Linked DNA regions of Danio rerio. The protein of the gene in region 2 binds, or shares a complex with, the protein of the main gene of each other region. Links are inferred from orthologs where the notes say so. Each region holds a gene or a part of one and is shown on either strand. Other genes may lie near its edges.

Region 1 (4,284 bases), on a different chromosome or scaffold from region 2:
CAGTATTCAGTGTTACATGATTCATTATTATTAATGTTAAAAACAGCTGTGCTGCTTAATTATTTTGGAAACTAGAATACCTTTTTAACCACTTTTAAACGAAGTTTCAAAACAGCATTTGTTTGAAACTGCACTCTTTTGTAACATAAATGTCTTTTCTGCTGGTTTTAAAATATTTTATGTGCATAAAAAAAAACTTTTATTAACTTTGAACTTATTTCAAAAAGTGTACATAATCTGTATAAATTAATAAAAATACAAATAAATACAAATGAATGAATTATATATCCTAAACATATTTTCTTGTGAACATGCTTTAATTCATAACATAAAAATAAAAATGTTAATGCATTTTATCAACATATTGAACAAATTGAAGCAAGGGAAACATTTTTTTAGGTATGATTTTGCTGAATAAACTTAAAAATAGCACTTTTAGTGTTCGCGTGAGCTGCCATAATGTACTGCAAACTTTATTTCATAACTTGAAAATAAAAAGTTGCATTTTTTCTATGTGTGCTAAAACATTTTTTTTTTTAACTGTCCAATTTTTGGGGAGATGGTGCCACTGAAAATGTTAGCATTGCAAACGAGAACAGAAACAAATCATATTAAAAATATATTTCAGAAAATCAAGAACTTTTTAGGTAAGATTCTGATGAGTAAAACAGTTAAAAAGAGCACTTTTACAATGTTTGCATGAACTGCCATATTGTTGTCCTTGTAGATGCTTGAACCTGCACTGCAAAAAACAGCACTCTTTACTAAAAATGAGTGTGCCAGAAAGAGTTACCTAGTAAAGATGTCTGTTGATATCATCTCTAGGTACTGTAAGGCATCAGTAATTTGATGCACAGCCTCTTCTCTCCTCAGGTCCGGCTGGATGAGAGGAACAGAGTACACCTGTCCCTCCAGGTAACGCTTCTGTGTCATCCTAAACACACAAACGCAGACAAGTGAATCATTTAATCTGAAAAATGTTTCCCTATATTAAGCCTAAAGCATTAAAAGAAAGCTTTAAAATGAAATTAAGATGCATTTCTACACTGTTTGCAACCCAAATGCTACTACTGAGGTAAAGTTGGTTTTATATTCACACATTCAGACTTTTTCCTTAATAACTGAATCATTCAATCTGTGAAAGAACGCATCTATCCTAAGCTTAAAGTATTAAACAAAGTATTAAAATAAAATTAAAAAGCATTTCTACACTGTTTGCATCCTAAATGCTATTACTGAGGTAAAGTTGGTTTCATATACAGACTCGCGTTAATAGAACCATACAATCTGTGAAAAAGTATTAAAACAAAGTATTAAACTCATTTCGACACTCTTTGAAACCAAAACACTATTCTTGAGCTAAAGTTGGTTTTATATTTGCATAATATTCAGACTCTCTCCTCAATAACTGAATCATACAATCTGTGAAAAAGTGTCTTTATACTATGCTTAACGTATTAAAAATAAATTAAAAACACATTACTACACTGTTTTGAAACCGAAAATCTATTACTGAGGTAAAGTCGGTTTTAAATTCTCACATTTAAACTTTCTCCTTAAAAATAGAGTCATACAATCTGTGAATGTGTCGTTATACTGTACAAAGTATTCAAATGCATTACTACATTTTTTGCATCCTAAATACGATTACTGAGGTAACGTTGTTTTTATATTCACACATTTAGACTTTCTCCTTAATAACCGAATCATTTAGTCTGTGAAAATGTGTCCCTATACTAAGTATTTAAACGAAGTATTAAAATCAAATTAAACCACATTTTTAATAGAGGTAAAGTTGGTTTATATTCGCACATTCAGACGTTCCCCTTTAATAATTTCATAAAAGTAATACTTGCAAACTTTAAATAGCGAAAGCATATTAGCTGCCAATGACTATCAAAGTGCAACATTGTTCACAGTCAAATAAACAGTGTTAATGTTGTTTTCAAGTCATACTTGCATGCTAATTCCGATCTAATATTCAAAGTAACATGGTAAACAATATACAGAGTTTTAAATTAACAAATGTGCGAATATAAAAGCAATTTTACCTCTATACATTTCTACACTGTTTGCAACCCAGATAGTTTTACTGAGGTAAAGTTGGTTTTATATTTGTAGATTCAGACTTTCTCCTTAATAACTAAATCATACAATCTATGAAAAGGTGTCCCTATACTATGCTTAAACTACTAAATCAAAGTATTAAAGTGAAATTAAAGCATTACTACACTTTTTGCAACCCAAATACTACCACAGAGGTACAGCTGGTTTAATATTATCAAATTCAGACTTTCTCCTTAATAATATAGTTTCAGAAAAGTATTATCTTTGCTAATTATAAATAGGGGAATCGCAGATACACGTGTCACACATCTGAATCCAATCTATAATATCTGATCTAATACAGAAACACAAACACTAATTCAGAAACTAAACCGAGAGGCTTTACCAAATGACAGTCACATGATAAGTCAACATATTCTTGGATAAAGGTGTATAAACAGTGTTTTGTTGTGTATAGCAAAACATACTCCTTAAAACAGTGTATAATAATAATAATATAACAGCTATATTAAAACATCAGCTGATTTCGACACTGATCTGCATCACGCGACCATCCGGTGTAAAACAAAACAAAACACAGCGACCAGACATTGACGGAGGATTTTAAGACATCAGTTTTCATATTGCTGGCTATAAAATAACAGTAAGTAGACGGTGATACTCTACCTGACCATTTAAGTGCAAAATGCATCAACGTTCGGGTTCGCGAAAGCGCTCGGCACTGTCTTTCAAGATGAAAACTTCCGCACAGACGTAGCACGTGACTTCTGACGTTGGCGCGTAACTGGAGAGACGTCAAATAATACAACACCAACACACAAATCATATTTGCTATAATTCTGTCTGTTGTAAACCCAAAATTACATTTAAAAGGTGTTGGGCTGAATGATAAAACATGTACTAAAAACATATTCGTATTATTTTTCAGAAGCAAAATAAAATGACTCCTAGAGACAAATTTTCCTGGAAGTCTATTACAGTTAATATTAATTGGAAAAGAGTCTAACTCCCTTCAAATACACTATTAATAATAAAATTGAGGAAATTCATTTTAAAATACTACATTCAATTTGCCCAGTAAAATCGTTATTATCAAAGTACATTGAAATGGAGGATATCTGGTCTGCAGTGTGGAAAAAGAGAGCCTTTGCCATTTATTGTTTAAATGCAACGTTGTAAACAATTTCTGGAAGGATCTAGCCAAATATACTTTTTAAAAGTACAAAACTTATTATTCCTTCCTTCCTTCCTTCCTTCCTTCCTTCCTTCCTTCCTTCCTTCATTCATTCATTCATTCATTCATTCATTTATTCATTTTCTTTTCGGTTTAGTCCCTTTATCAATCTGGGATTGCCACAGTGCAATGAATTGCCAACTTATCCAGCACGTTTTTACGCACCCGATTCCCTTCATGCAACCCATCACAAGGAAACATCCATGCACACACTCATTCACATGCGGACAATTTATTCTACCCAAATCACGTATGTCTTTGGACTTGTGGGGGAACCAAAGCACCCAGAGGAAACCCATGCCGACATGGGGAGAACTTACAAACTCCACACAGAAATGCCAATTGACCCAGCCAAGGCTCAAATAGACCTTCTTCTTCTTCTTCTTCTTCTTCTTCTTCTTCTTCTTCTGTGAGGTGAATGTGCCTCTGCGCCACCGTGCAGCCTTCATTAAAATATATTATTTTTTATTATGAAAACAAATCCAACAAAAGTCTTGAATATATTGTTAATTTCTTCATTTTATAGGCAACATTGTACATACACAAACAGGAATTTCCTAAGTCATCTCCCACATTAACAGTTTTTTTTTGTATCGAGTTTTACATCTTTATTTACTGTGAAATTGTTGAAAAGTAAAAAATCTGAGATATTTATCAATTATTATAACACTTTATATATAATTTATTTATATATAATTATATATAATATATAATATTATTTATATTTTAAAGATACAAATTTGTCTATATAAAACTTATCCATATTAATACCTCAAGGGTACATATTAGTACCTAAAAAGTACAAAAGTGTTCCTAGGTACTAATATCTACTGTTGAGGTACCAATATTGACCCTTTAAGTACAAACATGTACCTACTGAAAAGCTACCACCCCAGTGACAGCTTGCATACCTTTATTTCTGAGAGTGTATGAACATGTTAAAATAATTGTTAATGAATGTAAACAAGGCGAGGCAGTGGCGC
Region 2 (3,567 bases):
TCTTCCGAACACAAAAGATGATATTTTAGATCTCTCTCTCTCTCTTATCATTTTATTAATTTAAAAAAGTTTTTGGAATGATTAAATTGGAATGACATGAGGGTGAATCATTAAAACAGAATTTTCTTTTTTGGGTGAACTAACCCTTTAATGTTTTGGTGTGGTTAAGTGTTTGCAGAGAAGCAGCTTCTTTAACATTGTGTTTTATAAATTCAGGTGAAGACTGGAATGAGGTATTCCACCAGAGAGTAGTGATTTATTGCAGAGTCAGCGACCTCATCTGCAATATTCAAAGACCTTTCCCACTTTTTCCAGGAGTTGCTTACATCTTGAAGCTTCTGGACCAGTATCAGGAGTTTGACTCCCTCCACTGGTTCCAGGCTGTGAGGGAAAAGTATGTGAAGGAAATGAATGCAGTGGTGAAGGAGCAGAACGTTCAGTCCACCAGCCAAGATGAGAAGCTCATGCAGACAATGAACCTGACTCAGAAGAGACTGGACGTATATCTGCAGGTATGAAAGCATCTTCATTGCTTTTTCAGCAATAATGAACGTCACCTTGTTTATTGACATCGTCTTTGTGTTTGTAGGAGTTTGAGTTGCTGTATTTCTCACTGAGCAGTGCTCGGATTTTCTTCAGAGCTGATAAAACAGCAGCAGAGGAGACCCAGGAAAAGAAGGACAAAGGTTGGTTGATGGAATCGTCTTGAAGTTGTGTTCTTAGAGTTACCATCCTGTAAGTTTAAGCTTCAATTCTGATTAAACGCATCTAAACCTGATAGAATTTACAGAGAGGTGTGTTGGAAATGAGTATTGCATGGAAGATCTCTAGGAAAAGCTCTCCATGTATTGGACTTCTGTGGTGTTCAATCATTTAAAATCCAAAACGTCACCATGCGTTCATTGTGTTTCATGTTCTGAGGCGCAGATCATTTATAATAAATTAATAAAGGCCCACAGTGGCTTCTCCTACTTACGCAAATGTCATTTTGTCTCTTTGAAAGTTTCCACCAATTCATCAGGAAGTGACATTTCTGTTGGCTTTCAATGGATGGAAACGGTGCTTTATTTGCATATGTTTTGCAGACAATTGTATCCTGAAGGCGCTGCTGTGTATCTGGATGATAATGTAGCAATACACACAGCAAGACTGGTGACAGAGTGGTTTGATGAGAAAGTCAAGTTGAACATCTCCCATGGCCTGCATGGTCACCTGATTTAAATATAGTTGAGCCACTTTGGGGTGTTTTGGAGGAGCGAGTCAGAAAAGCCCCCAGAAAAAGCGAGTCAATGCATTTTCATTGTTTTGACAACCGGGTGTCCCTAGCATGTGCTGTTTTTTTATTATTATTATTTTTTTTTAAAGTTTTTCCATTACTAATGTGTTAAATACTCATTGCTTCAATATTTGTGCACTTAATGGCTTAAATGTTCCCTCATTCAAAAACTGAGGTCCCATAAACCGCCTTTTACTTCACTTTCACTTTGTCAGATAACATCCCACAACATGCATCCAGTGCAGACACAAGTCATGCCTCATAGTACAGTATAACAGTGGCCAAGCCAGTATCAGCCAATAAATGATCTACTGTATTGATCCCGCTGATCCATTTTCAGATGTGTGGTTATAAATGTGGGCTTTTACATGATGTAACGCATAACATACAGCAGATGCTTACTTTAAAAGAGTTTATGCTAGTTTATTCAGTATGTTGATGCACTTCCAACTGAAACAGAATATTGAGCAGGGGCGAGGCTTTCTTTTGCATGTCATAGCAAGCTAAATAGCAAACTAAATGGTAAGAGAGAGTATTAATACGCAATTGCTATGAAAGTCCTCAACAGAAGGACCCCAAATGATCAGACTTTCATTGAAGATTACCAAAACAAACCAATTTTTCTCAGTGGATTAACTAAATTGTTCACTTTAAGAATAACAATGTGAGCTAGCAAAATAAACATTGTAAATTTAGATTAAGCGCACTGCTTTTGAAATAAAGCTTAGAAAAACTGAATATCCACTCTGTCTATACATTGATTACAGTATCCCAAATATAAAGTGATCGCAGGGCAATTGTTTTTTGCGTTTAAAGTCCATGTGAAATCAAAATTTATCATGTTAATTTGCCAGTGCACATTAAGTACGTTTAAATCAGGGGTGTCCACACTCGGTCCTGGAGGGCCGGTGTCCTGGAGTTTAGCTCCAACCCTAATCAAACACACCTGAACCAGCTAATCGAGCTCTTACTAGGCATACTAGAAGATCTCCAGGCAGATGTGTTGTAGCAAGTTGGAGCTAAAGTCAGCAGGACACCGGCCCTCCAGACTGACTTTGGACACCCCTGGTTTACGTGGACACCAATAATCTGATTTTAATACGATTAAGACAATACTCTGATTAAGAGTCTACTATGTAAACAGCGATTTTTGATTAATTTAATCTGACTAAAGTCATAATCGAACTAAACAGAAATCGAATTAAGAAGTGGAGTATGCCGATTTTAGTCGAATTATGAAGTGTAGTACAGACATGTAAATGCAAACTATTACCGTCATGGATTTTTTACACTATTTTTTTGCACCTATCAAGTCAGTAATAGACCACAGACCCCGTTATCGTGAAATTCGAAGGGTTTTTTTTTTTCCATACATCATACAGTTTTAAATTCAATAAAAACAACACTCTTCCAGCAGTTCATACTCACATCCAATATCTTGTTTGTCACAGGGGGCATGCATGAAATGTTCCTGAATGAAAGTGAAAGTGCCAAACTGCAGTTAAAGTCGACAAATAAAAATGAAACACTCAAAATTACACAAAACTTTGTGTCACACAAAAGTTTGTTTAGGTAATATTTAAAATCTGACTATTTGGTCCGACGTTTTTCTCTGAAACTGCGTCCCGAATGGCACACTATACACTATGCACTTACACACTCAACAGCATAGTATATGCATGTAGTGTCGTCCCAAATGGAGCACTAATGTTTTTATACTAAACGAAAATTCAATCCGTTTCTCTGATGACGTTTGACTATTGCCAAATCAGTGAAATAAATGACCAAACTATCAAATAATACCTGGCATGAGTATAACCGCGTTCACCATTAGGAGGCGTTATAATCACTCTCATAGGAGAACTTTGGTTTCACAATCCAAAATAAATAAAGTTATCCAACATGTGTGCTTGATAGCTCCGCCCCTTCGGCTACATGAGCAAACCTGCGGTCATTGAGTGCGTGAAGTGTCCATCATTACACACTTCATTTTAACCGGCTGAATGAGTGCATCATCCAGGAAATTAAAGTACACTTACTATTGTTAGCTTTCAGTGTGAACGCACTACTTACACAATTTATACTACAAAATGCCGTAGAATAGTGCATAAGTATGCAATTTGGGACACAGCTTGATAATGTCAGTTTGATGGATTCAGCCATAAGACTCTCAACCGTTACTCCCCTCTTATCGTTAGTTTGCTACAAGGTAATTATGCTTAAAAAGAAAGCCCCACCCCTACCTAATATTGTTTCAATTGGAGTTTGAAACATTTAGATGGATATCTATG

The links. The genes of interacting proteins can lie anywhere in the genome.
Region 1: washc4 (region 2) and wash1 share a complex: the UniProt entries of both Homo sapiens proteins name them as parts of the WASH core complex. The link is inferred for Danio rerio from reciprocal best matches to the Homo sapiens genes WASHC4 and WASHC1.

What each region holds. Positions count from the first base shown.
Region 1 is NC_133193.1:7,640,574-7,644,857, reverse strand, and holds the start of wash1 (WASH complex subunit 1), read right to left. Parts: upstream 2,821-4,284; 5' UTR 2,742-2,820; coding exon of another isoform or gene 2,734-2,741; 5' UTR 1,703-2,733; intron 1,622-1,702; 5' UTR 935-1,621; coding exon of another isoform or gene 934-934; coding exon 794-933; intron 1-793. UniProt on the Homo sapiens protein: Acts as a component of the WASH core complex that functions as a nucleation-promoting factor (NPF) at the surface of endosomes, where it recruits and activates the Arp2/3 complex to induce actin polymerization, playing a key role in the fission of tubules that serve as transport intermediates during endosome sorting.
Region 2 is NC_133200.1:31,096,672-31,100,238, reverse strand, and holds part of washc4 (WASH complex subunit 4), read left to right. Parts: intron 1-315; coding exon 316-512; intron 513-589; coding exon 590-686; intron 687-781; coding exon of another isoform or gene 782-831; exon of another isoform or gene 832-975; intron 976-3,567. UniProt on the Homo sapiens protein: Acts as a component of the WASH core complex that functions as a nucleation-promoting factor (NPF) at the surface of endosomes, where it recruits and activates the Arp2/3 complex to induce actin polymerization, playing a key role in the fission of tubules that serve as transport intermediates during endosome sorting.